Callithrix jacchus: one gene and its partners. The protein of the gene in region 1 purifies or fractionates together with the protein of each later gene. This does not show direct contact. Links are inferred from orthologs where the notes say so. Each region holds a gene or a part of one and is shown in the gene's direction. Other genes may lie near its edges.

Evidence for each region.
Region 2: the proteins of FBXL4 (region 1) and BNIP3L purify together in Homo sapiens (affinity purification with western blotting; 4 studies listed by BioGRID, with this or other methods). This does not show direct contact. The link is inferred for Callithrix jacchus from reciprocal best matches to the Homo sapiens genes FBXL4 and BNIP3L.
Region 3: the proteins of FBXL4 (region 1) and CUL1 purify together in Homo sapiens (affinity purification with western blotting; 4 studies listed by BioGRID, with this or other methods). This does not show direct contact. The link is inferred for Callithrix jacchus from reciprocal best matches to the Homo sapiens genes FBXL4 and CUL1.
Region 4: the proteins of FBXL4 (region 1) and BNIP3 purify together in Homo sapiens (affinity purification with western blotting; 4 studies listed by BioGRID, with this or other methods). This does not show direct contact. The link is inferred for Callithrix jacchus from reciprocal best matches to the Homo sapiens genes FBXL4 and BNIP3.

Annotation. Positions count from the first base shown.
Region 1 is NC_133505.1:104,905,018-104,912,195, reverse strand, and holds the end of FBXL4 (F-box/LRR-repeat protein 4), read left to right. Parts: intron 1-4,405; coding exon 4,406-4,718; intron 4,719-5,678; coding exon 5,679-5,842; 3' UTR 5,843-7,086; downstream 7,087-7,178. UniProt on the Homo sapiens protein: Substrate-recognition component of the mitochondria-localized SCF-FBXL4 ubiquitin E3 ligase complex that plays a role in the restriction of mitophagy by controlling the degradation of BNIP3 and NIX mitophagy receptors.
Region 2 is NC_133514.1:15,175,020-15,182,635, reverse strand, and holds the start of BNIP3L (BCL2/adenovirus E1B 19 kDa protein-interacting protein 3-like), read left to right. Parts: upstream 1-3,616; 5' UTR 3,617-3,682; coding exon 3,683-3,779; intron 3,780-4,003; exon of another isoform or gene 4,004-4,076; intron 4,077-4,157; exon of another isoform or gene 4,158-4,367; intron 4,368-4,799; exon of another isoform or gene 4,800-4,887; intron 4,888-7,616.
Region 3 is NC_133512.1:99,021,181-99,028,964, reverse strand, and holds the start of CUL1 (cullin-1), read left to right. Parts: upstream 1-3,660; 5' UTR 3,661-3,839; intron 3,840-3,927; exon of another isoform or gene 3,928-4,046; intron 4,047-4,191; exon of another isoform or gene 4,192-4,318; intron 4,319-4,973; exon of another isoform or gene 4,974-5,421; intron 5,422-7,784. UniProt on the Homo sapiens protein: Core component of multiple cullin-RING-based SCF (SKP1-CUL1-F-box protein) E3 ubiquitin-protein ligase complexes, which mediate the ubiquitination of proteins involved in cell cycle progression, signal transduction and transcription.
Region 4 is NC_133513.1:125,282,232-125,290,026, reverse strand, and holds the start of BNIP3 (BCL2/adenovirus E1B 19 kDa protein-interacting protein 3), read left to right. Parts: upstream 1-3,423; 5' UTR 3,424-3,551; coding exon 3,552-3,597; intron 3,598-7,795. UniProt on the Homo sapiens protein: Apoptosis-inducing protein that can overcome BCL2 suppression. May play a role in repartitioning calcium between the two major intracellular calcium stores in association with BCL2.

The DNA of each region.
Region 1 (7,178 bases):
GTCTCCAACAAACTATTCACCTCTCTAGGTTTCTTCACAAACTAAGATGTCAGTCGTACCCAAATGCCAATAGTTTAGTAAGTTTTTCACTGACCTAATTTATCTTTTAAAGTCTGAGATAATGTTCTTGAAATTTTCATGATAATAGATAGATTTATTTAATACGTTTGTTTTTGTGTTTGTTTTACTGTCCTTACTGTCAAAATGGAAAGATTAGCACCCTTTGTTGGAACTCTTTGTGTGTGTGTGTGTGTGTGTGTGTGGAAATTTGACTGGTCTGTGAAATCTAAAAGCCTAGGGACTCTTGGACTAGATAAGCTTTAAAGTCCTTCCAGATTTGAAATACAATTTTATGTGCCCTTGAAAGAGCTCATGGGAAGAGTTAAATCTTTTAATCTAAACCACATAATTATATAGCTTTTAAATAATACCAAGATGTGAAGGACAATAGAAATATTGTGTGGAGAAGGTGTGCATGTGCATGTGTGTCTTTGCGTGCACACATACTGTAAGTGAATCTTCTGGTATTGGAAGAATTCATTCCTCCTCACTTCCTCCCCTAAACAATGTAGGTTTAGGAGATCCCCAGAGCATTCCAGTTTTGCCTTGCATTCACTTAGTAGGAAGACTTGAATAAGCAAAATTATTGCAAGTTTCTAGAAAAGTTCTGGTATGCTAGATTTAGAATCGATAGACAGGGCCCTGGACCTAAAATAAGTCCCATTTGAACATCTCTTAGAGCTCAGCGTGGCTTCAGGAATGTCCCAAGATTTGGCAGTATAGACTAAGTAGGCCTTTTATGATGACATGTTTATCTCCATGTCCCCATGGTCTTTGAAATCTTGTGGTTAAGTTTTATTAAACCCCAAGTATGGGATCAGGCCATCCCAGTCTCTAGAAACAGTCATGGGAGCCCACTAGATTTTCCTCACTTCCAGTCAAGTTCTTACCATAGTAAGCCATTTGATAGGCTTCTGTGGGTCTCTCTAGTGACTCTTCTAGATGGGGCCAGTGACATTTGATGGCAGTTTCTGTCACAATGCACTAGCCAGCTACTGTACTTGGATTTTCCTTATTGCTAGCCTGCCCTCTTTAGATTGGTAAGGACCCTATTTAACTTTGCTTAGATGTACCTTATTCTGCTTGTTATTTACCTCCCTTTAAACTGGAGCAACATTCCTTAGAAAATCAAGCCTCTGACCATAGACACTTTACTACTGGAATTATATATATGCTTACAGTTGGAATTATATTAAGTTAGCATTTTTCAGAGTTGACCCATGGAAAATTAGTCCTAGAGGATAATCAACTTTAAAGGCTGTGCATTTGGGGGTGGAGTGGAGATTTCTAGTGAAATTAGGAAGCCAAGTATGGTTGCCCACACCTATAGTTCCAAATACTCTGGAGGCTGATGTAGGAGGATTTCTTGTGCGCAGGAGTTCAAGGCTGCAGTGATACGGTTACACTGCTGCACTGCAGCCTGGTCTTAAAGAGTTTGACAATGGTGTGTTCTACAACAAAGAAACTGTTTACCTTTGCTAAAACCAGTGTGTTCCAACCTTACCTAACTACTGAACTCATTTTTCTATATTGTATTTTATTGTTGACTGTCAATATAATGGCAGTTTGTAGATTTGTGGTATTTATTAAGCAGTTGTTCACAGTATACATACATAGGTCACTGTGTTGACATTGCCATGGTGATTGTGATCTATCATATACCTTCGCTGAGTATTCTCCTCATGGCGTACTTTCTCTGTAGTGAGTTTAATGTAGGTAGTAAATTAGTTGTGCCACTTTTTTTCTGAAACTAAACTTTGTGCTACAAGTGCCAGTTAGATTTGCAGTGACAAGAACTTCTGAGGAGTAGTGTCTCACCTGTAATAAACTTGAATAGTCTAGTCAGTGCCATAAATATTCTTGTAGGACTCCTTAGAAATACTTATTTTTCCTCTTGATTGGGAAATAAACAAATTTTATCTATTTCTTTTTACTTTTGAAAATGGGCCAGGCGCAGTGGCTCATGTCTGTAATCACAGCACTTTGGGAGGCCTAGGTGGGCAGATCACGAGGTCAAGAGATCGAGACCATCCTGGCCAACATGGTGAAACCCTGTCTCTACTAAAAATACAAAAATTAGCTGGGCTTGGTGGCACATGCCTGTAATCCCAGATACTCAGGAGGCTGAGGCAGGAGAATTGCTTGAACCAGGGAGTTGGAGGTTGCAGTGAGCCGAGATTGTGCCACTGCACTCCTTCCTGGTGACAGAGCAAGATTCTATCTCAAAAAATAAAAATAAAAACAACTAAAAAAGTTTAAATTCCACTATTGTATAATACTGCTTGAAGTAATTTAAAATTGCCTAAATTAAAGAATCATAGGACCTAACTGGCATTTTCTTAAGTTTCCTACTAATTGTGCGATCCTGGTCAGGTCACTTAAATTCTTGCTGATAGTTCCTTTGTGACATTTGTCCTATTTTTAAAATTAGATCATGAATAAGAAAATAAATATGTCTAATCTTTTTGGGGAAAAGAGAGTCCTGTGTAATAACTAAAATTTAGAAGGGATTTTAGTTAATAAAGGAGAGATAGGTTACCTTTGTTCCAGTAAAAAGTATTAAGTTTCATTCTTACTTTCCCAGCCCTGAATTTGGCATGTTGAATAGTGCTCTGAAAATTTCACAGCAATGAAAAACTCTTGAAGGAATTTCTCATTGTATTCTGTGCTGGTAGAGAATTCGTCCAAATGCCACTGAGATTGCCCAGGCACCAGTTGAGCATAATCAGAATCATGGGTTTCAGAAAAATTTTTAATTGTTTCTTTCTAAATAAGATAATTGGTTGCCCTACTTATCAAACCCACAGTTTTGTGTTGTTCAGGTATACTCACTTAAGGAGATAGTTTTGTTCCCCCGAACCTGTTTCTGGTAGACTTCTGCATGATTCCATCATACATGCACTGACATCCAGAACCTTAGAAATCATTACCCCTATATCTAATCTGTCAGCCTTTGGTTCCAACTCAAAAATACAGCCCCAAATCTATCAGATTTCCCCAATTCCATCATTGCCACCTTAATCTAAGCCCCTGTCATCTCTCCTTTACACTGTTGCAGGCCTCTTCAATGAGCTGCCTCCTCTGTTCTTCCCCACCATAGGCCCATCCTCCAGACAGAAGCTTGGGGTAGTTTTGCTTTGGTTTTAATGTAAATAATAATATGTCACTCCTTTTTGGCTTCCTTAGTATTTGAAAGAAAAATCTAACTCCTTCCTGGCCTAAATGGCCTGGCCACTGTGTGACCCTACTCTCCATAGCCTGTTTCTTCCCTCACCACCCTTGCACCATATGGATCTCCTTTTTGTTTCTCGAATGCAACAAACTCATTCCTGGAGATTTCAGCAATTACCACCCCTTCTCTCAACTCCTGACACTCTGATCACTGTCACATCACTCTGTCTTATTATTTTCCCACCATATGTTGCTCTTTGAATTTATTTTCTTTACTTAATTAGTCTGTTTGTCTTTCCCAAAAATGTGGACAATGTCTGCTTCTTTCAGTTTGCTGCTGGTCCTAGCATATGGAATGGTGCATAAATATTTGCTGAAAATACAATTTAACAAAAGAACAAAAGGAGATAATCATTGTAATTGTTTACTATTTTGTTTCCTTTTGATTTCTTATGATGATTTTAATGTCTGATTTTAACAAAATCAAATGAACCTCTTAAAAGAACCTATTTAAAGAAACATTATTGAAGCATATAAAGCCCAAGAACTGAAATGTTTAATCCTTGATTAGTAGAGTCTTACCCTGGAATCATGAAGTAAGCACTGGATACCTCCAATAACTGACAGTTCATTAAAATATTGTAGTCTAAATTATTTTCATGTGGTATATGCACTCCCCCAATGCCTCATTTACCAAAACTACTAGTATCCTTATTAGTACTATCAGCATTTCCACATAGTGTTTTAGAGCCTACCAGATGCCACATCAGGGAGATCTTATATACCTGCCAAAGTATATTAGCCATGTATAAAATGGAAGAAAGTAAGTCCTGTCACGAGTAGCAGCAGCAAGATTGAAATGGTGGGCATAAAAGAATAACACATCATCCTTTAATTTTTCATGAGAGACTGAAAATGTCAAACTGCTTTGGGATTTAATTCATTAACATCTTCTGTCTGGAGTTCTCTTAAACAGATTTTTAAATAAATGATTATTCTTGGCTGTTTTATGAAACAGTGGTAGATCTGTGAGATGAGTGGGCAGATCTGTATTAACAAAGATGTGTATTTGTTGACATGGAAGCAAAATGATAGGAGATAATTAAGAATCTGACTTATTCTAAATAGTTTGCATGTCTGAGCATAACACGTGTTGGAATTGTTTGATTTCCAGATTGAAGACTATGATGTGATAGCTAGCATGATAGGAGCCAAGTGTAAAAAACTCCGGACCCTGGATCTATGGAGATGTAAGAATATTACTGAGAATGGAATAGCAGAACTGGCTTCTGGGTGTCCACTTCTGGAGGAACTTGACCTCGGCTGGTGCCCAACTCTGCAGAGCAGCACTGGGTGCTTCACCAGACTGGCACGCCAGCTCCCAAACTTGCAAAAACTCTTTCTTACAGCTAACAGATCTGTGTGTGACACAGACATTGAAGAATTGGCATGTAATTGTACCAGGTTACAGCAGCTGGACATATTAGGTAAGGATACAATATATAAATTTGTTTTAAATGCCTATTTCCTTGACATAAAAGCTGGTCTCAGACTTCTTGTAAGGAGAAAGAAAATTTTTGGATACAATAAAAATTTTGTCCTGATAAGACTGCTTGGTTTGATAGAAAATGCAAGATAGATCTGTTAATATAGGGAATAATTATACATGTACTTTAATAAAATGGGACAATAACAGAATTTTATAGTTGAACCTATCAAAAACTCTAAATAATCATTAATTCTTGATCTAGTTGGAAGAGTGAAAATTTACATGAACTGTGCTTTCTATTTTTATTAAGGAGACAAAAGAAATACATTTGATAATGAATGCTAGCTAGTTTTTTTTAAAGTTTCTTCATTATTGATTAAGAAATATCATGATATCTTTATCCCTGATAATTCTAGCATTTAAGAATAGTTCTACCCCAGGCAGATCTATTTAAAATCTTTTCCAACTCTGGTATTTCTTATATCCTTACTGCCTTCATCAGAAAGTAACCCTATGTAATTTTGTTACTTCTTACTTTTAGCCAGGGGTGCTAGCAGTGTCACAGTAGTTATTGTCCACACAATTGGTACTTTGTGAACTCACATCGCACTTGCACATTTTACATCAAATGCATGGTGAAAATCATTTTGAACTGGGGTGACAGAAATAGGAAAGTCTGGAGGAGCTGATTTGAAGGGGTAGGAGGTAGGAATGAAGATAGTGGGTGGGATATTGGCAAGATTCAGGTCCTAGATGCTAAATTGTCTGGGAAAATTCAGTTTTTACTTTTTTAACAGAATGATTTCAATATGAAGTCTTGTTTGAAAAACAAATGATTTTAATTTGTAAAGGATTATTTATTTTAAGTTCATTGCAAATAATAAATCATGAATGGATTCATTGTTAGCACATTATATAAATGTTATACTTAATTTTTTTTTTCTCTTTCCTTAAATAGGAACAAGAATGGTAAGTCCGGCATCCTTAAGAAAACTCCTGGAATCTTGTAAAGATCTTTCCTTACTTGATGTGTCCTTCTGTTCACAAATTGATAACAGAGCTGTGCTAGAACTGAATGCAAGTTTTCCAAAAGTGTTCATAAAAAAGAGCTTTACTCAGTGACTTAATATACGTTCTGTAATAAATTTAATGTGCTTCGGTGGGGTTTTATTTTGGGATTGGTTTTGGGTTTTGTTTTTAGTTGTTTTAATGGTAAGAAATAAGACATTTGTAGGTTTTAAAGAAAATTATGAAATTGTTCATTAAATCAAGTAAAAATGTGCACAAATATTTCCATATAATATTGTAAGCACTTTTCTTCAAGAATATGTGAGTGGATGATATTATTTTTACCTTATGTTAATCAGTGATATTATGCTTTAGTAATTAATGTGATTGATAAAAGAATAACATGGAGACATGCTAACTTATTTTTGAAGGAACACTGAGCAATAAAGTATCATGGTATTTATGCAAAAAAAAGTTAATTTTTTACTTTGGGAGGCCGAGGTGGGTGGATCACAAGGTCAAGAGATCGAGACCATCCTGGTCAAAGTGGTGAAACCCCGTCTCTACTAAAAATACAAAAAATTAGCTGGGCATGGTGGCGCGTGCCTGTAATCCCAGCTATTCAGGAGGCTGAGGCAGGAGAATTGCCTGAACCCAGGAGGTGGAGGTTGCAGTGAGCCGAGATCGCGCCATTGCACTCCAGCCTGGGTAACAAGAGCGAAACTCCATCTCGGAAAAAAAAAAAAAAGTTAATTTTTTACACCTCCATGTAAAGATCTTATTCAGCCTGTGACCTGGCAAGTGTTTTATTTGGTATGTACAAAATGGTCAGAGCTAGTTGGAGAAAGAGACATGCTTTTCCAGCTATTTGGTTATTTCTCTAGATTAACTGTTCAACTGGAAAATTTGTAGGTTTTCTAGCCAGGTGTGGTGGTGTGTAGTCCTAGCTGCACAGGAGGCGGAGGCAGGAGGATTACTTGAGATGGGATTTTGAGATGCTAGTGTATTTATGATTGCACCTGTGAACAGCCACTGTACTTCAACCTGGGCAATGTAGGAGGTCCCTTTCTCTTAAAAAAATCAAATTGTAGTGTTTCCACTTTTCTTCTGATATATTTGTCTATTTCACTACTGGATAATACCAATATAAAAATATGGGTATAATCAAGAATAAGAGGTAAACTACTAAGTAAAAAAGCTTTCCAACTTTTAGAAGCAGATGCCTTAATATTTTGCCAGAGGTAAAGTTTTGAAGTTTCTGAATTATATGTATATTTTCCTTATATATTAAAAAATCATAAATGTGGGAAGATACATGTATATATATAAATTATACAAATAAAATGATTTTTCCTGTGCTCTGTGACCTTAAATATTAGAAATCAACTCTGGGGGGGGATACAGGGGGGACAAAAAATTAAAAACATACATTGTTTTGTTAAAAAATGAA
Region 2 (7,616 bases), on another chromosome or scaffold:
CACCTCAGCCTACCGGGTAGCTGGGACTACAGGTATGCACCACCACACCCTTTTGTATTTTTTGTAGAGATGGGTTTTCACTATATCATCCAGGAACACCAGTGCACACCAGCCTGTGTGACAGAATGAAACTGTCTCAAATCATAAAATAACAAAAAGTAAATTTTTTATTACTCAAGTTTATTACCTTATCAAAATTAATCATAATAACAGTATTTATATCCTAGCTATTGCCACAATCAAGTAATAGAAGTACATCTATATCTAAAATGAGAAAAGGGGCCAGGCGTGGTGGCTCACACCTGTAATCCCAGCACTTTGGGAGGCCAAGGCAGGTGGATCACAAAGTCAGAAGTTTGAGACCAGCCTGACAAACATGTCGAAACCCCATCTTAAAAAAAGCGGGTGGATCACTTGAGTCAGGAGTTCAAGACCACCCTGGCCAACATGGTGAGACCCCCCCCCCCATCTTTATTACTAAAAATACAGAAAAGCTGGGCGTGGTAGTACACACCTGTAATCCCAGCTACTCAAGAGGCTGAGGCATGAGAATCGCTTGAACCCGGAGGCGGAGGTTGCAGTGAAATGGGATCCTGCCACTGCACTCCAGCGTGGGTGACAGAGTGAGGGGGAAAAAAAGATCAACTAAAAAATGGGTAGCAGAGGTAAAGGTGGACGTTCCTTGCTGGGCATTAAAAGAAACTTGACTAAGGAAAAGGATTGGGAGGATTATATAAATATATATAAAGGTTAACTGAACAAAAATTAAAATCTCAGGTGAACACAACTAAGCAACAATAATAGTAAAAACCCAAACAATTATCTTAATACTGAGTTTGAACTGAGGACAAAATTATGACCATGTTACAGTGATAAACAGGGATAGTTATGAACATCTGCATCAACTATAAGGAATGAAGATACAAGAAGAAAGAAACATACTAGGAGTAGGAGATGCAAATTCACCTCTTGAAATCCATGACATATAAAGGGGTGAAAATAATCAGCTGTATGAAAACTTAAATGACATTAGGTGTTCCAACAGATATATCAAATCTGATTTTGTGAACACAAAGTATACGTTCTTTTCAAATACAGAATAATCCCCAAAAGGGATCGCAAGTTAGGCCCCAAAGGTCACCAAAAAAAAAATACTCCCAAACTGAAAATAGTACAAAAACCCAATCTGACCAGGGAAAAACTCTTAAATACCCACATTAATAAAGAATGAAATAAACACCAGATCTAAGAAGTTAGGAAAGGTTGACGGTGACTGCCAATGAGTACAGCCTTTCATGGCGGGGGAGGGGGGGTGGCAAAAGTGTTCCCAAGTTAGACTATGATGGTTACACAACTCTGTGAATATGTAAAAAACATTGAATTGTGAATTTTAAGCGGATGAATTGTATAGTATGTGGAATATATTCCAATGGAGCTGTTAAAAAATTAGAATTAGGGAAAATACAATTAGGAAACAGGAATTTAAGACTCAATAAAATAGATAAACGATTAGGTAATATATTCAAGAAACAAATAGAGGACAAACAACATAAAATAAGAAATAAAGGTAACATCCTATAGAAACAGCTTTCCTAAAAGCACCAGGCCCCAGTCCTTCTGTACAGAATTACAATATTTCCTTAAAGAAAGTAATTTCAGTGTCAAGGAAACTTTCTAATTATTTTCAATAAAATGAATATAGTAACTTGGGTGAGTTGACTCATGCCTGTAATCCCAGCACTTTCGGAAGCTGAAGCAGGGGGATCCATAAGCCCAGGAGTTTGGGACTTGCCTGAGCAACACAAGGAGACTACATCTCTACAAAAAATACAAAAAATAGCTGGACATGATGGCAGGCACCTGTAGTTGCACCTACTGGGGAAGCTGAGGTGGGATGATCACTTGAGCCTGGAAGGCTGAAGCTGCAGTGAGCCATGATTGCACCACTGCACTCCAGCCTGGGTGACAGAGTGAGACCTTGTCTCAATAAAATAAAATAGCATATGATTAATAAAAACTTTTTTGAATGTTTAAAACCTTTTAAAAGGAGTTCCTAAAAGGAAAATAGAACAAAGTGGGATCTCGTAGTACTGACTGGGAAAACAATTCTATAAATATGTCAATAATCCCTCAATTAATCTATTAATCGAGTTCATTTCTGACCAAAATCTTAAGAGTTTGCAAAGGGATTTGATAAATCAATCCTTTTTAAAAAACCTTTTAGCGTGGAATTTTTCAAATATATTTAAAAAACTAGAGGAATACTTTAATGTACTACCTAGCTTCAATAATTACCAACATATGGTCAATCTTGGACAAGTCCACTTTTAAGTTTATCTGCAGCATAGTCATTAACATCTGAAAAAGGCAAATGCAGACAAAGTTTGTTAGCTAACAGAGGTATTGTAGGTAGCCCTGAAACAGTCACATTTTTGTGAGCATTCGGAGAGTGACAAAGGTGCAATTTCAAATCAGGGTAGACAGGATGGCTTAAAATTAGTATTATTGGATCAATGGGCTACAAAACTGGGAATAATTGAAGTTAAACAATTTACAGCATATGGAGAATAAATTTCAGATGGATTAGAGCTCTAAATGTAAATTTAAGCCTCTAAGAGAATTAGAAAAAGTTATAGGGGAATTGTAGATTAATAATCTTGGTGTTAAAGTCTCCTCAAGCCGTGTAAGAATGACAAATCTGATTACATGAAAACCTTAAGCTTCTACAGAGTGAAAAAAAATATTAAAAGACAAGTTACAGACTGAGAGAAACATATCACTCATAAACCAGGCCAAGGAGACTGGACAAACACGAAATGTATATCGCTCATAAATCAGGCCAAGGAGACCGGAGATGTGAAGCAGGAGGTATGTTTTGGAAAACATTTAATGTTACCCACGTACAGGATAAACGGCTTCCCACGTCATGTCCCAGAAATCGATTAGGGCATGGGATTTGGGTGATTACTTTCTCCTCTGTTTTCCTGATTGTTTTCTCTTTTTTCTTTCTCTCTTCTGTTTTCCTGAATTTTTCTTTTTTCTTCCTTTTCTTTCACTCTCTCTCTTTTTTACAATGATGCTGTGTTTGTAATTGACGTTTTTTAAAGTCTGTAGCAATTAAATTTGGGGGCGGCCTTCCCTTGTTTCCTGAATGGAGCGTTGATGTTTCAGCGGCTTTATCTTGAGTTTACTCGTGGAGGCACCTAGGTTTGGGGCTTCCTTTGTGTCCCCAAGACATCTATTGCAGAAGTGAGTCCTAAGAGGTAGAAAACAGAAGCATGCGCAGAGCTGGGTGAAGCAGTGTGGAGCTCGCGTGAGAGGAGGCTCGGGCGCTAACACATAAGCGCACTTCCTCATTCCGCTTCTCCTCATCTTCTCTCCCAGTGCCACCCGCATCACTCATCCCATCCGGTCATTCCAAGTCACACGCAAGAGTTCGTTCCTGGTGCGCGCGTCAGCCTAAGTCTCGCGTCTCCACTTCCGGGGCCCGCAGGTACACGCCCTTGCCCCGCCCGGTCGCCTGTTGTGTTGTCATCACGTGGCCTGGGCGGGCCCTGACGTCAAGGGGAGGGGAGGGACGGCGCAAGCGCAGAAAAGGGGGCGGGGGACTCGGCTTGTTGTGTTGCTGCCTGAGAGCCGGAGACAGTCCTGCAGCTGCCGCAGCCCTGCCACCCGCCTGACAATGTCCCACCTAGTCGAGCCGCCGCCACCCCTGCACAATAACAACAACAACTGCGAGGAAAGTGACCAGTCTCTGCCCCCGCCGGCCGGCCTCAACAGTGAGTGTGGGGCCGAGGGCTCGGTGAAGGGGATGGGGGAGGAGGAGCCGCCCCAGCCGCCGCCACCGGCGCGGCGCGGGAGGCGGGAGGAGAAGGCAGCCCATTGGCCCAGGCCGAGGATGTCCGGGTGACTGACAGCTCCCGTCACCTGTCAGGAGGAGGGGCGTCTGCCTTCCTCCGGGCCTCTCCGGTGCCCTCTGGGATCTTGGGGCCCCGGGCCTTTTGGGTTCGCGGTCCGGGATCGGCGGAGGTCGCGCGGATCTCCCTGGTGTGGGGGGTCCCCAGCAGCGAAGCCGGGTGGGGCGGGACGGGGGCGGGCCTGGGGGGCGGGGAGGCCGGGTGGGAGGAGCGGGCCGCGGAGGGGACGTGGGCCGGGATGGGACGTGCGGATGGGACGCCGGGGGATGGACGCGCAGGAGCGGGGTGGGGCGGGCGGCGGCCGTGGGACGTGTCAAGGATCAGGTGTGCGGGGCCCGCAAGCGGGCAGCGTCTGGCGGGCGCGGGAGCCCCCAGCGAGCATTCCTTTGTTGCCACATGGTCGTCAGGAAAATTCATTTACTGGTCTAGGGGTGGCTTGTCACGTGTGGGGTGAGAGGCTGTGCCTTGCTTTTCCTTTTTCCTTTTTTTGATTTCTCGAAGTTGCCCAAGTAATTTTTTTTTTTTTTTTAAGCGATGGGGTTGTGTGCCCAGTAAACCTGAGAGCAGCCTCCTGAAACACCCAGGACTGCACACATCAGGGAGTCTGGGGTCATGCATTTAAAGAAACGGAATTAGAAACGCAGTCGGGCAGTTGAAAGTCAACAGGCAGAGCTGATGGACTACCCAGGCCAGGGGCTTTTCTTAACATTCCGCTGCTCAGACGTGTGGTCCTCACATTTTTGTCAGGCGTTGTGAGAGCCAGGAGCCTTCTTGGAAGGATTCTTGCCTAACCTTTGTAATTCATCTCTGGGGAAAGAGGTAGTGGGGGCAGTGAGCATGTGGCCAGACTATGTCTTTTCAAAACCACTTGGTTGATTAAAGGTCGTGCAGTGTCTTTCGTAACAGGGAGGTTCTTCCAATGTGGCCTGAAGATTATTATTCCAGGGAAGGCAGTTGCAGCCCTCACCAGGTAGGGATGGAATCTGGATGTTTTAAGATGGATGCTGCTGCTTCAGGTTTTGATGGGTTAGCTCCCAAGACCTTCAAGTGTCATATATTACAGAATGTAAGATGTTTATATTATTTCCCGCAGCAAATTAGGATGAATGTATGTGTCTTTAAACGTTATTTGTATCACATATTCCTATGCAATTTTAAGTTATTTGCCCGTGTTTAGCGTACTCGCTTGGATTTTAGAATGGGAAGAAACTTCAGAGCTAGCTAGCTGCCTTCTGTTGTTTACCAGTAGAGAAACAGGTCTTGATTAAGGGGCCTTGTGTCCAAGTTCACAGCCAGCTGGGAGCAAAGCTGAGGTTCTGACATTCAGCCTGTCAGGTGCCTTTTTTTTTTTTTTTTTTTTTGAGTTGGAGTCTGGCTCTGTCACCTAAGGTGGAGTGTAGCTGCGTTTTCTCAGCTCACTGCAACCTCCGCTTCCTGGTTGGGATTCTCCTGCCTCAGCCTCGTGAGTAGCTGGCACTACAGGTGCCCGCCACCCACCTGGCAAATTTTTGTATTTTTAGTAGAGACGAAATTTCGCCATTTTGGCCAGGCTGGTCTCAAACCCCTGACCTCACGTCATCCGCCCGCCTGGGCTTCCTGAAGTTCTGGGATTACAGGCGTGAGCCAACGCGCAGCCTCTTTTCGGGACTTCTTTTCAGCGGTCCAGAACCAGGCTTCTTTTTAGTGGTCCTGCTGGTGTATATGTGTCTTATTTTGTCTGTGTTATTCTACCTGATGCACAAAGGTGACCCACCTTTCTGTCTCTTGGTAGTATTCTGTTTAATTGTGCAGTTTTCTTACAAGTGAAGATACTTGGTAGGTGTACATAATTTCACTGAACGCAAAGGGATTTTCATCTTCCTTTGACCCCTTTAACAACAACACAAAGGGCTAAGCCACGCAGGGCGTGGTGGCTCACGCCTGTTATCCCAGCACTTTGGTAGGCCGAGTTGGATGGTTCACTTGAGGTCAGGAGTTCGAGACCAGCCTGCCAACAAGGTGAAAAACCAACCCCCTCTCTACTGAAAATACAAAAATTAGCCTGGCATAGTGGCGGGCGCCTGTAATCCCAGCTACTCGGAGGCTGAGGCAGGAGAATTATTTGAACCCGGGAGACAGAGGTTCCAGTGACCTGAGATTGTGCCACTGCACTCCAGCCCTGGTAGCAGAGCAAGACTCTGTCTCAATGAAAAAAGAAAAAAAAAAGGGGGTTGAGCCATATGTCATTGTTTGTCTTGGTGTCTTACAGACCTATGACGAGTTTGATGTCTTTGGCCAATTTGTTCCTACCTGGTTGACTCTGGCTCTTACAGAGGTGGAATTACACTCAGGCTGCATGGGATATCAAAATATTGCTTTGGGAAATCTGCTAGGTAGTATTTTATGTGAGATAGGGTGAGCTTCCTGAAAAGCTTTTAGATAATGCCGTATTTAATTACTCCCTTCCTGCCTCTTACTCTGTTCGTTTTTTTAGCTCATTACACAATACTGGACTGAAGAAAACAAGAGGCCTCATTGATTCCTTGAAGTGATTTTTGGGTACTGGGCAAAACAACTTGGGCATCTAGTACTGTCCAAATTGCTGATAAGTCGAAGTATTTTGTTGGGTAAAGTTGCACAACTGAAAACAGGAGATGAAATGTACAGATTATCTTGGGTTTGGGATTGTATCTTTGGTTCAGGGGTCAAAGCAGAGTTTCAATAGCAAATTATTGAAATATTTGAATAGTGAAGTATTTCTGTGATTTTTTTTTTATAAGTTTACCGTTATGAAGAGACTGTTCACTTTCATTACAAATTACAGGGCAGATACCCAAACTCTTGCCAAGTCAAAAGGTTGTTGTCCAGTTTGTTTTATTAAGAATTCTTAACTGTTTAAAAAAAAAAAAAGAATTATTAACTGTTAACTTCCTTAAGAGTATTTGAATAAGATTCAGTGAGTAAGGAAAATCAAAGCAGTAGTATAATTCTTGTTGAGACATATAGCCTTTTTTTCTTTCCTTGTTTTTATTTTTATTTTTGAGATAGAGTCTTGCTCTGTCACCCAGGCTGGAATGCAGTGATGCAGTCATAGCTGATTGCAGCTTCTACTACCTGGGCTCAAGTGAGCAGGTAGCGAGGAGTATAGGTGCACGCCCCCACACCCAGCTAATTATTTTATTTCTTGTAGAGATGGAGTTTCACTTTGTTGGCCAGGTTGGTCACTGGCTAACTTATTTTTTGTAGAGATTGAGTTTTGCTTTGTTGCCCAGGCTGGTCACAAACTCTTTTTTTCTTTTTTTAAATAAATCTTCAACCATCATGTGCCTGCTTTCCTGTTATCAAGAGTACTCTTAAGGCCTTCATGAAGTGTCCCTGCCTCGTAACAATGTTTTGAATACCTATGTAACTTGTGTGTAAATACTTCTACAAAAAGACCAACATTTTTTTTTTTTTTAGAAGAATGTCAGTGACTCTTGTTGGCCTGGTCTGGATTCCTTTCAATAATGAATGAAAGGCTTTGAGGAAAGAATGTAAATATAATGAAATATGAAAAGAGTTCTATGTGGGCCTTGAAAAGTTAGGGGGGAAATTGAGGAGAAAAACTCTTCATTTTCTCCTCCTCGTGTCCCAAAGCTCCTCTCCTCCCCTTATTGCAAGAGGACTGAACTAGTGATTATAAAACTGTAAAGATGATGCAACATACATTAATGAATGTAA
Region 3 (7,784 bases), on another chromosome or scaffold:
TGATTTGGATTAAATAAGGTTTACTTTAAAAATTATCACTGTCAGCATAGGTAATATTTATTTAGGATTTAACTTACAACAACCTTATATGAGATACTATTATTATTAATTTATTTATTTTTTGAGACAGAGTCTCATTCTGTCACCTAGGCTGGAGTGCAGTGGTGCAATCTTAGCTCACTGCAACCTTTGCCTCCTGGGTTCAAATGATTCTCTTGCCTCAGCCTCCTGAGTAGCTGGGATTATAGGCATGCCACCACACCAGGCTAATTTTTGTATATTTTGTAGAGACAGGGTTTCACTTTGTTGGCCAGGCTGGTCTCAAACTCCTGATCCCAAGTGATCCACCTGCCTTGGCCTCCCAAAGTGCTGGGATTACAGGTGTGAGCCACTACACATGGCTGAGCTATTATTATTATAATCCCCATGTCACCGATGAAGAACCTGAGGCACAAAGAGGTTAACTTGCTCAAAGTTCCCCAGATAACAAGTAGCGGTGCCAGGAAAGAAACTCTGGCAGTTTCAAGTTCCCTCCCTGCCACTTCCCAGCCAGCTACTTTTGATTCAGTAGATCTGGAATGGGGCCCTTGGAATTAGAAGTTAAGTCCCCGGGTGATTCTGAAGCAAAACCAGGTTTGAGAACCATCCTGTTAATTCACTTTGCACTGGATGGCTAGTTACTTACCTGTGTCTTAGAAATAATCGTTCATATAGTTAGTCAAGTAACACCATACCCTTTCATTTCAGTAGTAAGCAAATTTGCTCGGAATCCGCTTCAGCGTTCTTCAGGCACAGTGCTGAGGGGGCAGATGAACATTACGAAATTGTCTCTGACCCCACAGCACAGACCACCTAGTTTAAAGGCACATGTGAGAAGGCAATCAGGGAGAGGTCACAAAGCTTGAGTAGAAGGTGTAAGGTGGCGGGCTTCCTGGGAGGGGGGTGTGAGCTGGATCTTGAAAAGTGAGCATGAAAAAAAAAAAAAAAGAAAAGTGAGCATGATTTGGAGTTGGAGGAGAGAAGGGGGAACAGTACCTGTTAGAGGAACAACTGAATGGCATTGAGAGTTCCTTTTGGGAAGTAGCAGGAAATAAATTTGGAAAAGCAAGTTAGGACAAGATATGGTAAACCTTAAGTGCCAGGTCCAAATTTGGATTGAACCCTACACACAATATGGAACTACTGAAGTTTGGAAGGACAAAATTATAATGATGAAGGTATCAATTTACAAGGAATAATCTGCCATCAGTCATGACACAAGCGGAAGGATAAAGAAGAGGTAAGAACCAGGAAGAGCATTTAGAAGGTTAAAGAACCAACAAAAGTGTGGGAGAATATCTTAGTAAAGGAGTGGATATATACAGAAGTGAGTCACCGGGTCACATTATGCACTGATCAGGCTGAGCGATTTCACGCAAATTGCCTAACATCTCTGAGCCTTAAGTTTTTTTTAAATGAAAAATGGGTATGATGATAATGACTGACTCAAAACAGGCAAAGGATTTCTCTAGGATGGTGACAGCTCTGGGATACAAGGTGAATGGGCCAGGATTTTGAGTTTGTTTCCAGGTCTGCATGAATTAAAGAATGTGCTATGAATGGCAACAGGCACATTCACTTTGTGGAAGATGAGGGGGGACTAATGGCTGGTGAATGTTCCACGAATTATGAAGAAATTACTCTTTACACTCTTATGATGTAGGTATTTTTATCCCAAATTAACAGTTGACTTAACTAGAGCAAAAATTAGTAATTTGAGTTACTGGATATGACTCAAATTTGAGTAACTGAATATAAACCAAAGCCCACTAAAATCTAAAACTTGGGCTTTTCCAACTAGTACATCATATTGTCGAGTTGAAAGTTGTATTTTATGTCACTGCTTTTGGCCTAATGTTCTAGTCTGTTCAGACTATTTTGAATTTTGATTCTGACATCCATCAAATTAATTATCCCTCCAAACTTTGGGTCATCTGAGAGGGACATCGATTTTGCTGAGCTGGGGGAGAAAGATGGAGGAAGGAGGTTTTAAAGTAGAAAGGGAGCAGCAGGTGGCCTTGACCTGTTAGGCAGGAGGCAAGGTTATCTGCCCAAAGTAAATGCAAATCTGGTTGTTAAGTGGACATAAAAGTCAATGGAATAAATTTGCTGCTAAGAATGATCGTGTAGGCAGGTGAGGGTAAAGAATAGAAAGGAGTTAAGAACCAGGAATCTCGGAGGCAGTGAGAAGAGGGAGGGTGGTGTAGGTGAACCAAATACTCCTATTAAGAAAAAACAGAGGGCAAAGGAAACATACAATAAAGGGAAGGCTGACCCACTCAGCCTTTCTATTAGCTGGAGGAAGTCACAGAATAGGAGGCCAAGAATATTTCCCACCCCAACACCCTGCACAAATGAAAGGATTATGACATACCTAAGTGACAAATGCATTACTATTACAGATACTTAGATGTAGACAAAATACATTTTTTTTTTTGAGACAGTCTTGCCCTGTTGCCCAGGCTGGAGTGCAATGGCATGATCTCGGCTCACTGCAACCTCTGCCTCCCAGGTTTAAGCAATTCTCCTGCCTCAGCCTCCCAAATAGCTGGGACTACAGGTGTCTGCCACCACACCTGGCTAATTTTTTTTATCTTTAGTAGAAACTGGGGGGGGGGGTCACCATGTTGGCCAGGCTGGTCTCGAACTCCTGACCTACGTGATTCGCCCACCTTGGCCTCCCAAAGTGCCGGGATTACAGGCATGAGCCACCGCGCCCGGCCAAGACATTTCGATAGAGGGGATCACATAGACCAGTGGGATGTTTCTTCTGAGACAAACCCATGTTATGCAGTAAACTGTGGACTCTGGGGACAGCCCTCTGCTCTGACTGAGGCCTTCTGTCCCGAGTGGTACTGGAATCTGTGTAGCATTTTAGTTTGGAGGAAACAAAATTACACTCATCACATCTTTTGCCCAGATGACAGAATTCGAAATCCCCCGGGGGTTGTTCGTGGAATGAGCCGCTCGGTGACGTTGTGAGCCGTGCTATTAATCAGCCATCCCTCACTAGGTGCGGGGGGGCCACCACGCTTCCTCCAGCCCGTCACCATAGCAGCAGGTGGCTATTTGTGCTGCCAAAATTAGTATTTAGTGTGAATATTCCAAATAGCCAATTATGACAGTTAATTTCAAATGAGATGACTTCGAACTACACGTGAAAATACTATTTTACATCATGCCTCATGCCATCCCTATATGTAATCAAAGCCTTCTAGTTTTGATTTGTCCTTCCAAAGACCAAGGGTAGAGTAAATGTCAAAATCTGCCAAACAGCAGTTAGTGAAAGAGTCTGAAGAGGGAAAGCCTAGTTAGGTTTGACCTTAGAAGTGATTTTTAAAAAGAGACACATAGATAAAATGTGTCTGGAGCCAAATCCTAAGGCCTGCAGGTGTTAAGGGGGGGGTCGAGAATCAGCTGCACGTTCCTTGGAAGTCCGCGCCGATTCTGGGAGGCACCTGGCCACCTCTGACTTTCTGATCTGTGGTGCATCCCCCAGTCCCGGTCGACAAAAGTGGGGAGTCGAGTTCCAGGCCAGCGGGGGACGGGGGTTGTGCGCACAGGGGAGGGGCAGGAGGACTGCGAGCCCCTCTCCTTTGGGGTGCTTCGGGCCCTTTCTTCAGAGGCTGGTGGTGTCCCCGACCCAAGCAGCTCATTCTCGCTGGCGAGGTCCGAAGTGGCGGGAACGGGTCCTCCGCGGCGGCCCCAAGGCGAGGGAGGCTGTAAAACCTGGCGGAGGATCCAGCGCGCCGGGTCGGGGATGGCTCGGGTGTCAGGGGGCAGGGGCCGTGGGCTCGCAGGTAAAGAGCCCCACGTGAGCGGGGGCCACGGCCACAGAAGGGGCGCCCCCGGGGCGGCGGGCGGGCGGGAGCTTTCCGGGCCCCTCCCGCGTCTCGGGCTGGCGGGGCGATGGCGACGACGGTTTCCCGGCTCCCCCGCCCCGGACGCCGATGGCGGTGCGTTCCGGCCCTCCCCCAACAGCTTCTCCCCCGCGGTCGCCGGAGCCGGTGAGGCCGGGAGGGCGGGGAGCCGTGGAGAGAAGGCGAGAGGGCGGAGGTTGCGTGGTGCAGGCGGCGGCGGCGGCGGCGGGAGGAGGAGGGCCGGGCGGGCAGGGGAGGAGGAGGAGGCGGGCTCCGTGTCGCACGCAGCTCCAGGCGGGGCAGCCCGGGTGGCTGAGGGACGCAGCCAGACCTTGGCGGGACGGGGCTTTCGCCGGGGCCCAGGCCCAGCGACCAGGCGGAGGCGTCGCGGGAGCCTTTTGGGCACTACGGAGATGCGGGTGAGTGTCGGCCGCCGCAGGGCCGAAAGGAGGTGGTGGCGGCGGCGCAGGCCCGGCCCCGAGCCGCGGTGTCGCAGTGACTCGGGCCGCGGTTGCCGAGCCCAGGCGCCGGGCGAGGCCTGAGCCGCCGAAACGCGGCCGGGCAGAATGGCGGCCGGGCCCGGGGGCTCGTGGGCGGAGGACGCCGGGGGCGGCAGGGGAGCGAGCGGGGCTGGGCCCTGAGTCACCCCGGACGGGCCGGGGCGGCCAGGCCCGGACTACGCACTGGGAAAAAGCCCGATTCATCGCGCCCAGAGGCGGCGGCCTGGTGGCGCCGGCCCCTTTCCCCGTCGGGACCGGGCTGGGTCCGCGGAGGCTGGGCCGGCGTATGGCCCCGGGCGACTTGGGCGTTCGCGCCTCGCCTCGTGAGGCGATCTCCGCGGGACACCGGGACCCCATGCCCTTGCCCCTTCTCGCCCTCACGACCACGCTTCTCCTCGGCGCCGCTTTCCGGCCGACGCGTGCCCTCCTGTGAGCCCCGGGCTCGCGCGCGCAACCAGCCGCCAAGCCGGGCTCTCTCGCTTTCCGGTTCCCTGCCCGCGGCTCTCGGGTTCCGCGCCTGCATTATTGCGACCGTGCAGGACGCTATTATTGGCTAACAGCCGTCCTTTTGCCCAGTTGTCCTCGGGGAGCGGGCTGGGCTGGCGCTCAGAGATGGGAGCCCGGCGGCAAAACCGAACGGAGCCCCACGGCGCCCGCCTAGCGCTCGCGAGTCTGGCCGGGCCCTGCGCCGCGGCCTCGGCGCGCCCCCGGCCCCAACGGGAGCGCGCGCCATGACCCTGGAGGTAACCGGGCGAGCGCAAGCTGCGGGGACTTGGGGTCCCCAGGCTCGGGGTTCGTGCGATTTTTGCCCCAAGATCTGAAAGACCCCTGTTTCTGCCACCGGTGCAATATTGTGTAGCGCAGACGTAAGATAATTAAGAAAGAGAGGAATGCTTGTAGACACTGCTTGAAATGAATCCCCAAAGTTAAGGTTTTCTGCCTGGCTGGCTTTGCCAAAAAGAGGATTCTCTTTTCCGACTGGGTCACTCTCGGTTGCTTCTGGTTCGTAGTAGGCGTTCGTGGTAAGTGCACAAATGCTGAATTGCAGTCTTCTTAAATATTTATTTGCTCAGTGTAATTGCTCTTTCCTGTAGTAGCATTAAAATCGTCAAAAGTTCTGAGTGGAGTAAACGATCACACTTTTTGGAATAATCTTAACGAAGCGGCAGAAGAGAAACTAGATTCCTTTTTTACTTCAAGCCAGGAGCTTCTAGGACCTAACGCCTCGCGGAAGTGTGTGCAGTTTTAAGTTTAACACTTCATTTCATGGTGCACCCGAAAATGTACCCAGTTTTTTGAAATCCTGGAGAGTGGATTATGTAGTAAAATATGTAATGACATTTAAAATGTAAAACCAGTCATTTTGTTTGAAAACAATATTTGGCGATGAGATTTTTCTTTGTTTAAAGGAGGTTTTTGGATATTGGAAAATGTTTTACTTCGAGGTTCTATTTGTTGTTTTCCATGGTGAGTCGAAATAGTTGCATTGCATTTCAAATTCCAAAGCATGCAAACACAAGACTGGCTCGCTTTAACTCTATTATGCCCATTTTTGGAGGTTTCAGGAGAGTGTTCCTTAAGCTTGAGAGGGATGGCTGAATTGCTTTCTAAATATGTTAAACTTCTTTCCTCATTGGCTTCATCTTTTAAAAACTGTTTTGTCAGACAACAAACCAACTTTAAATATGCTAGGGTTTTTCACCAATTTGTAAAAGCTTCCTTCCTTGAGAGCCACATGCTCAGGTCCTTCCCCACCCCCCACTCCCAATGTGTGTACCACATCAGAAGACAGACACGCATGCCTGAGCTGATTCTGCATGGTTTCCTTAGATATTATAGTTCATTAGACTCTTGCCACTTACTGAATGTTATCTTCTAGCTGTAATTAACTACAATACAGCCTTATTTCCCATACATTTCCGATTCTGAATTCCTTCAGCGCAGGGGATATTCCCTGTTTATTTTTGCGTCTCCAGAGTAACAACTTGGTTATGGTGGTGCCTCAATTGCTTATTTTTGAATGAGTGAGTTTTCTGGAATAATTCTAACTTAGTGTTTGAAAACATGCCCTGATTGTTGGCTGCAGAAAACACAGTCGTTGCACTTAAGCCGGTTAAGAATGCAAGCTTTATTATACACTTAAGTAAAATCGATTCTCTCATCTCTCCTTTGCCACTCTCCCTTCCCATTTCTCCACTTCGCACCTCCCCACAGCCCCCCAGTATCTAGTACAGGGCCCCAACAGAAAAATGCCCAGGTTTTCTATACCTGTGAAGTCCAGGAAAGTGCCAAGAGAGAACAAGTTGTGAAACTTTAGCTTTCTTTCCCATTAAAACTAGTTTTAAGATGCGGAATTTTTTTTTACTTTTTTTGGAAACACAATCAAACGCGATCAGGATCAGGTCCTCCCACCCCCGGTTGAGTATCCAGCTTTGCCTTTGAAATGAAGCAGTTTGGTAGTTGAGGCGTCTCCTTGTTGGAAAGGTGAGGCCAGCCCCTTGGTTCTGCTGAAGTGGGATAGGAAGTTGCTGTGGGAGGAACCATCCCTGGGTCACTGAGGCCCTTTCATCAGAATATCATTCCTAGTATACCCAGAGGCATTGTGTCTGTCTTTCAGCATGGAAAATTAAAATGAATGTACTTTAAATTGAGGAGTTGTTACTTGCCATTCTTCAAATTAAAAACATTAGGACCATAAGAACTTATGAAGGTGTTTTGGTTTGTTTTGTTTTGCTGTTTCAGCCCTTTGTAGGTCCCAAAGCCATGACCTTGAGTCACTCTGGAATAAAGTGTCTTTGGGGGACTGTCAGGTTCATTTTGAACTTGTTTTAGGTATGTCTGGAGAAAAGAGTTAACCATTTGAAGGGCCAATTCTAAGTTTGTCTTGCTTTTTAAAAATATCTGGGAGTTTATCCGTGTGTTTGCTTTGCAAATGAAGAAATGAACATTAAATGGGAAGTAGATCCAATTTGGGTAAAAGTCTTGTGTTTGCCGAGGACATAATTTCCTCTTTATAGAAGTTTCTTGTTTATAAAATGAACATTGAGTAAGCACACTATAAACAGGATGATAACATTTAATGACTTAAGTTTTTTATTCATGCATGGAGGTATTTCACTTCTAAAAATTCTGTGATGGAGAGATGTAGTCATTTATTTTTGCTTAGGTATAGAGCGTCTTGATTTGGGAGAGAGGACTTGAGTCTAGTTAAAGCTTACCTTTGCAGGGCCAGTATTTGCTCATTTGTGAAATGAGATGGTTTTTTAATTGACATTGTTGATTTCCTTAGGCCCTCAAAGTATGTGGATTCCATGGGAATGCCACAGCTTTGAACATTAACAGCATTTTGGGAAAAACGGTCTCAAAGAACATCAAGTATTGTATT
Region 4 (7,795 bases), on another chromosome or scaffold:
TTAAAATGGAAGTAAACCTGATTAATCCTTTCCCAGTATCAGGCAATATCCTCTAAGGCCTGAAGCAACGGAAGGAATAAGATCCATGACAAAAGACTCTATTAAAAGGGTCTATTATTCCTTGCACCAGCATGCAACACTCCAATCCTTCCTGCAAGGAGGTGGAACGGGAAGAGGTGGCAGTTTGTGTAAGATCTGAGGGCTGTCATCAACACTGTGATGGCGAGGCATCTGGGAGTACCGAAGCCCATCCTCTTGGCAGCTGGAAGTGAGACACTTACTGTGACTGATTTACGCAGTGCTTTAATATTCCAGTGCACTGTCGGTATCTGCTTCTACTTGGGATGTCCGCCAGCATATCTGGCCTATCAGGAAATATTGCTGATAAAACCGCTGCCTCCCTCGCAGCTCAACAAAAAGCTACAGACTCAATGGCTAAAGCTAGACTGGACAACTGCACTGATTTCGATTATTAGCTGAGCGAGCAAGCGTAGGTACGGTGGCAAATACCTCTTGTTGTGCACACATAAACTCTTACCATTAAGTAGAAACTCACCTGGGAAAAATTAGAAGCTACTTGGCTACAAGTCTCTGAAGAAGAATCTCTGTTTAATTACCTGCATAATACTCTTAGTGGACTCCCTAGCAGAACAGGCTCCTTTTTTCATTCTGGCATACACATTCTCTTTTTTATTGTAATCCTTATGTGCATTGTACTTGGCACAATTTTTTTTTTTTAATTTTTTGAGATGCAGTCTTGCTGTGGACAGGCTGGAGAGCAGTGGTGTGACCTTGGCTCACTGCCACCTCTACCTCCTGGATTCAAGCGATTCTTGTGCCTCAGCCTACTGGGTAGCTGAAATTACAGGCACCCACCACCATCCTCAGCTAATTTTTAAAATATTTTTAATAGAGATGGGGCTTCAACATGTTTGCCAGGATAGTCTCGATCTCCTGACCTCATGATCTGCCTGCCTCGGCCTCCCAAAGTGGGCACTTGGTAACATTTTTGTTTTAATAAAGATGGAATCTTTCTGTGTCGGCCAGGTTGGTCTTGAACTCTCAGGCTGAAGTGATCCTACTGCCTTGGCTTCCCCCAAATGCTGGAATTAAAGCAAGAGGCACTGCCTGGCCAGCATTATAGTTCTACTATTGGAAATATTAATGCTGTGTATCTCTGGCTGTTTTCCTTTTTCTTTTTTTTTTGAGACAGGGTCTCACTCTGTTGCTCAGGCTGGAGTGCAGTGGCCTGATCATGGCACATTGTAGCCTCCACCTCCTGGGCTCAAGTGATCCTCCCACAGCAGGTACCACGATGCCGTGATTTTTCTTTTTTTTTTTTTTGGGGGGTAGTGAAGGGGTCTCGCCATGCTGCCCAGACTAGTCTCCAACTCCTGGGCCAAAGCGATCCTCCTGCCTCGGCCTCCCAAAGTGCTGAGATGAAAGGCCTGTTTCCCACACTGGGCTCGAGAAAACCAAAATCATGGCACTCCAAATACTAGGGCCGATTCAACAGCAAGAGCTGCGGTGAAATCCACGCAGTGACGGAGGTCTGGTTTCTCCGCGCGGTGATCCCGGTTCCGGTTCTGAGCACCTGGCGTCCCCGTTCGCTGTCGGGGGCCTCCGCCTTCCCCGCGTGGCCAGACCCGGCTGTCTGGGAAGGAGTATTTCGGGGGCACAACGCGACACCTGGATCTGGGTCGTCAATGCTTCCACGGAGAAAGACTCTTGGGAAAAAGGGCGGGAAACGAGCCTTTCCTCTGAAGAGCGCGCGCCTCCCTCCAGGCCCGAGGCCGCCAGGCCGGCTCCCCTAGCCCGGTACCCACCCGGCCCGGCGCCACCCCGCCCCGAGCCCCGCCCGCCCCCGGAAACCCCTCGCCGCGGAGGCGGACGGCGCGCCTCTCCGGGCCCCTGGGGTCCGCGTCTCCCTCGGGCGGATCTTCCGCCCCACTTGAGCCTCCGCTGCTCCTTGTGAGCGGACGCCCCCAGACACAACGGCCCCGCTGTTCAAGCAGGGGCGCCCCGGCCGGGCGGGCAGAGACCCGGGGGCGCGGCCTCGGCTCCGGCCCACCACTCGCAGCGACCGTACCGGCCCCACCGGCCGCCCAGGAACCGCAGCAGCTACGCCCCCGCACGTCCTCACGCCCCCCGCACGGACGCCGCTCTCCCCGCGTCCTCACGACCCCCGCGCGTCCTCACGACCCCCGCACGTCCTCACGCCCCCCGCACGGACGCCGCTCTCCCTACACGTCCTCACGCCCCCCGCACGGACGCCGCTCTCCCTACACGTCCTCACGCCCCCCGCACGGACGCCGCTCTCCCTACACGTCCTCACGCCCCCCGCAGGGACGTCGCTCTCCCCGCACGGACGCCGCTCTCCCTACACGTCCTCACGCCCCTCGCACGTCCTCACGCCCCCCGCAGGGACGTCGCTCTCCCCGCACGTCCTCACGCACCCCGCACGTCCTCACGCCCCCCGCAGGGACGTCGCTCTCTCCGCACGTCCTCACGCCCCCCGCACGGACGCCGCTCTCCCCGCACGTCCTCACGACCCCGCAGGGACGTCGCTCTCCCCGCACGTCCTCACGCCCCCCGCACGGACGCCGCTCTCCCCGCACGTCCTCACGCCCCCCGCAGGGACGTCGCTCTCCCCGCACGTCCTCACGCCCCCCGCACGGACGCCGCTCTCCCCGCACGTCCTCACGCCCCGCGCAGGGACGTCGCTCTCCCCGCACGTCCTCACGCCCCCCGCACGGACGCCGCTCTCCCCGCACGTCCTCACGCCCCCCCACACGGACGCCGCTCTCCCCGCACGTCCTCACGCCCCCCGCACGGACGCCGCTCTCCCCGCACGTCCTCACGCCCCCCCACACGGACGCCGCTCTCCCCGCACGTCTTCACGCCCCCCGCACGGACGCCGCTCTCCCCGCACGTCCTCACGCCCCCCGCAGGGACGTCGCTCTCCCCGCACCTGTTTCCCCACACTAGGATGGAGAGACCCTCCCCGCCCCGAAGCGTGGCGGCGCCGGGGTGACAGGTAGAGCCTAGCGCGTCCGCCGGTCCCACCGCCCCTCTAAAAGAAAACCCGGCCCACCGCCTGCCGCGTCGGCGACCCCGCAGCCCACTCGTCACGCGGCCCGGGACGCTCCGCCCGGCCTGGCTCACCTCAGGCGGTCTCGCCCGCGCCCGCGTCTGCGCATCCTTCGCCCCGCCCCTCTCTCCGCCTGCGACCCGCGCACCGCAGTCCCCGCCCCTCGCCCGCCCCAGGACCCGCCCCGCGCACGCGCCACACGTGCCGCACGCACCGCACGCCCCTGCGCACGCGCAGGTCCCGCGCCGCGGCCAATGGGCGTCGCGGCCGCAGATCCGCCCGGCCCCGCCCTACCCGGTGAGTTCCTCTGGCCGGGCGGCGGGGCTCCGCTCAGTCACCGAGCGCTGGGCCGCGGCGTCCCCGTGCCCACTTTCTCACCGTCCGCCGTCTACGCGCAGCCCGCAGCCCGCAGCCCGCAGCCCGGCGCGGACTCTGATCGCCGCAGCCGCCCTCCGGCGTCATGTCGCAGAGCGGAGCGCCGGGGATGCAGGAGGAGAGCCTGCAGGGTGAGGCCGGGGAGGCCGGGGGGACGCCGAGGGGGCGCCGAGAGGAGGCTGGGGGGTAGGCCGGGGCGCGCCGACAGAGGCCGAGAGGAGGCCTGGGGGGGGCATCGCGGGCCGACCGAGGCCGTGTCGCTCTGCTCTCCGGTGCCCACCCCTCCGGCGGGCGTGCGGGGCCCGGGGCGTGGGGATTCCGCGCGCTGCTCCGGGTTCGCGGCCCCCTGGCTGGGGCGAGGGGTGGCTTGGACCCGGGTCGTACCGCGCGGGGAAGCCCCAATTCTCCAGCCTCGCGATGGCTGGAATTCCACCTGGAGGTGGCTCTGCGTCTCCCAGTTGGCCCGGGCAGCCTCTTGAAGTCCACGCTGCCCTCCGCGGTCTGTAGTTCAGACCAGCATCGGTTTTGTTTATTTATTTGCCTTCGAGACGGAGCGTCGCTCTGTGGCCCAGGCTGGAGCGCAGGGACGCCACCTCGGCTCACTGCAGCCTTCGCCTCCCGGGTTCAAGCGACTCCCCTGTCTCAGCCTCCCGAGTATCTGGGGCCACAGGCGCGTACCACCTCGCCCGGCTAATTTTTGGTGGGTTTAGCAGACGAGGTTTCACCGTGTTAGTCGGGATGGTCTCGATCTTCTGACCTGGTGGTCCACCCGCCTCGGCCTCCCAAAGCGCTAGGATTACAGGCGTGAACCGCCACGCCCGCCCTAGCATTGGTTTTAATGAGTAAACACCGAGGCGTGGCTTGTAAGTGCTTTAGTTTTGTGGCTGCTGTTGAAGTCCGTGGTGACTATTGGGATTTCCTGAAGTTAAATGGGTGGGGGTGACAGCGTTGTTAGATTCTGGCATTAAATGGACTTGGTCCGATTCTCCTAGAGGATCGTTCCGAAACAAAGCTTTAAATGACCTACGGGTTAAAAATCACAAAAGGACGCCGCCTTTAGAGCAGCCAGTCGTTGCAGCCTGCTTAATGCCCGCGTAGAGGCCTGCTGTGCGCCCTTTGCTAGGTTCGCAGTACCAGCGGTTCAGGACTTGCCCCACGCACAGCCAGGTGGCATGGAGACCCTCCCCACCCGGTAAATACACGTGCAGAGCCCAGATGAGCCTTTGCTCAGGGAAGCGGGTCCAGAAGCTGCCTTCCCAGGGTCCCTAGGGCCCAGGCCTCGGGGGAGGGATGGTGGCAGCTGACCTTTGTGTTCTCTGAAGCCAGAGTTTACAAAGCAAAATTAGCAAGTAAATAAGCTTGGGAAAGGACTGCTGAAACCTCTGCCAATGAACTTTCAGTTTTCACGAACAGTTCTGAAAGTCATGTATTTACATTAAGTTTAGTGAGTTGCTAATTTTATTACAAAAGCAAGATTTTACTAGGCAGAACTTAGTTTCCATAATATATCGAATAATTTATGTATGTTTGAACACTACCATATTTTTTTTCACCTTTTTTTTCCTAAGAGATGAGATCTCACTATGTTGCCCAGGCTGGTCTGAACTGGGTTCAAGTGATCCTCCCGCCTCGGCCTGGCCTAGAACCATATTTTTAAAAATCCTGTAATTTGGATTTTTTCCTCTTGAAACGTAAACATTGGATAATTACTATTCTGAAATAGATTAAGGGGTATTTTTCTGTCTTTTGTCATAAAGTAAAATCCAAGAGATGTTTCCTTTGCTGTAAAATCACCCATTTTCCGTTTGTGAAGCTGAGTTACCAAGGACACGGTGTGTTTCTTTGACCGGCTAGGATCCGGGCCCTGGGAGGTGGAGGGGGCTCCGCAGGGGCTTGTTCCTCTCCAGTCCGTAACTTAAATAGGCTGCTGAGTCATCGGCAGTGCAAGACGATCAGCGCTGGAGTTAGGTTTTTGTTTTTCTGTTTTGTTTATTCTGTAATAAGATACTTAACGCGTGGGGTGGAACCCAGGTTGGCAATTCCTTGGGCCGTCCTGGGTGTCTGCGCGGCAGAATGGGGCCACCGTGGGCTCTGCGTGGGCGGGGTCGGCCGGTCCCGCGGGCTCCAGCCGCCTTCAAATCCTGCGCGGAGCCGTGGCTCAGGCAGCACTCACCCCGTCTGGTCTGATTTCTCTGTCCCTTGTTTACCTCGGAACAGGGAAGTGTGGGAGCCCTGTAGCCAGACCCACAGATGGAAGCAGCAAACACTCTCTGCTTGTACCCTCTGGGGTCAGCTGCTCTTCCTGAGGAGTTAACGGCAGATGGGCTGATTCTGTCCCTTCTGTCTCTTGATGATTCTAGCTAAAGTTGCTGACTAGCAGGATGCTCATATGTGTCCTTTTTATTCCTTACTCTGTCGCCCAGGCTGGATTGCAGTGGCACAATCACTGGAGCTCACTGCAGCCTTCAACTCGGCCGTTTTCCCGTAGACATGCCACTGCTAAAATGCAGGAGCGGTAGGATTCTGTGGTGACGCCGCCAGGGTTGTGGGGGTGGGGGCATTCCTTCCTTCAAGGACGCACTGTCTTCAGGAGGGCATCGGTTCAGTAAAGCGTTGGCCCATTTACTCTGGAGCGGCTGTGTTTAACGATCCAAGCCCTCACCCCTTCACCCACTGCTGTGTCTGCACCGGCAGATGGTTCTCTTATCAGAGGCAACTCACCATGGGCAGAGCTGTATGAGGAGAAAAATGTTTGTACTTACTTTGGAGGGGAATTGTAGCATTGTGCGGTTTTAGACCTGAAGGGGTTGCAGACGTCTAGATTCTCATCCAAGACGATGGTCACAGTGAGGTTCTAGAGGTGGAGTGAAGAAGAATGCCAGCAACAATAATTAAGGAAAAGCCGAGGACTCTGCATTAAGCACTGGAGGGATGGATACCTGGAGCCCAGATTGCCTGAGGCTGATTAGATAGCCAGGGTCCTGGAGGAGAGCCTAGCAAGAGGAAGGTTGAGCCCTGTCAGAAGCCAGGGACCTGATTTACCTGCCAGGCTGACATGAGGCTTGAAGTCTTTTGCCAGGGAAGTCTCTTTTGTTCCTCTTCCCATTAACCTGAGAAGCTTTTAAAGGTAAAAATAAAAGCAGTTTCCTTTTTTTTAAATTTTGAGATGGAGTGTTCACTCTGTCCCCCAGGCTGAAGTGCAGTGACATGATCTTGGCTTACTGCAGCCTCCCAGGTTCAAGTGATTCTCCTGCCTCAGCCTCCCAAGTAGCTGGGATTACAGGCGCGTGCTACCACACCTGGCTAAGTTTTTGTATGTTTAGTATAGATGGGATTTCATTCACCATGTTAGCCAGGATGGTCTCGATGTCCTGACCTCATGATCCTCTGCTTCCCAAAGTGCTGGAATAGCCAAGGAGCCTGGTCCATAAAACAGCAATTGCTTAGAGCCCACTTCCCGTGGGGAAGAAGCCCTTTATATGGTCTTGGGAGTGCTAGTTCCCTCTGGGGTTGACAGCTTCCCTGCTTCAGGCTTTTTTTTTTCTGGGGATGCTGGCTCCCTCTCTTCTGACATTTATCCAAGAGCTTTTTCAGTGTATTTGCCTGGATTCCACCCTAGCATCCCAAATAGTCGCTTTCAGAGTGGGCTGCGGCTGGGCTTTTGGAGAACAATGAACAAACAGCACAGGTGATTTTCCCTTCATAGCCAGAGTTGAGACTGTCATCCAGATGAGGGCAGAGGACGGCCTTGAGAACTGGCCCTGCGTTTACTCCACGTGGGGCTCTTGGCTGCAGCCGGTGAATCCGTGTTGAGGAGTGCAGCTAGGGCATTTGCCCTGGGACATAGAGGGGCAGTGAATCTAAGGGATTCCCTGGAGTCTGTCACTATAGAGAGAACTGCTTGGGGCACCTAGAGAAGCTGGATGTCAGATGACTTAAACCACAGAGTAAGAATAAGAAATGGATTAAGAACTGTTGTTGGATTGTATTTTGTCTCTGAGGCAGACCTATCAGCTTCCTTTTTGTAATGTGATGTAAATATTTATAGTCTAGGCTTTTCAAAATCTCATCTGCCTTGTTAGGAGGGAGGCAAGATTTACTCCCTGCGTGTCTTGTTACCAATGTAAGTTGTAAGTGAGGAGGGGGAGGAACATAAAGAGAGGGATGGGAAATGAGATTAGGGATGGGGGCTTTTCGACTGGGTGTGGTGGCTCACACCTGTAATCACAGCACTTTGGGAGGCCAAGGTGGGAGGGTCACCTGAGGTCAGGAGTTCCAGACCAGCCTGGCCAACATGGTGAAACCCTGTCGGAACTAAAAATACAAAAA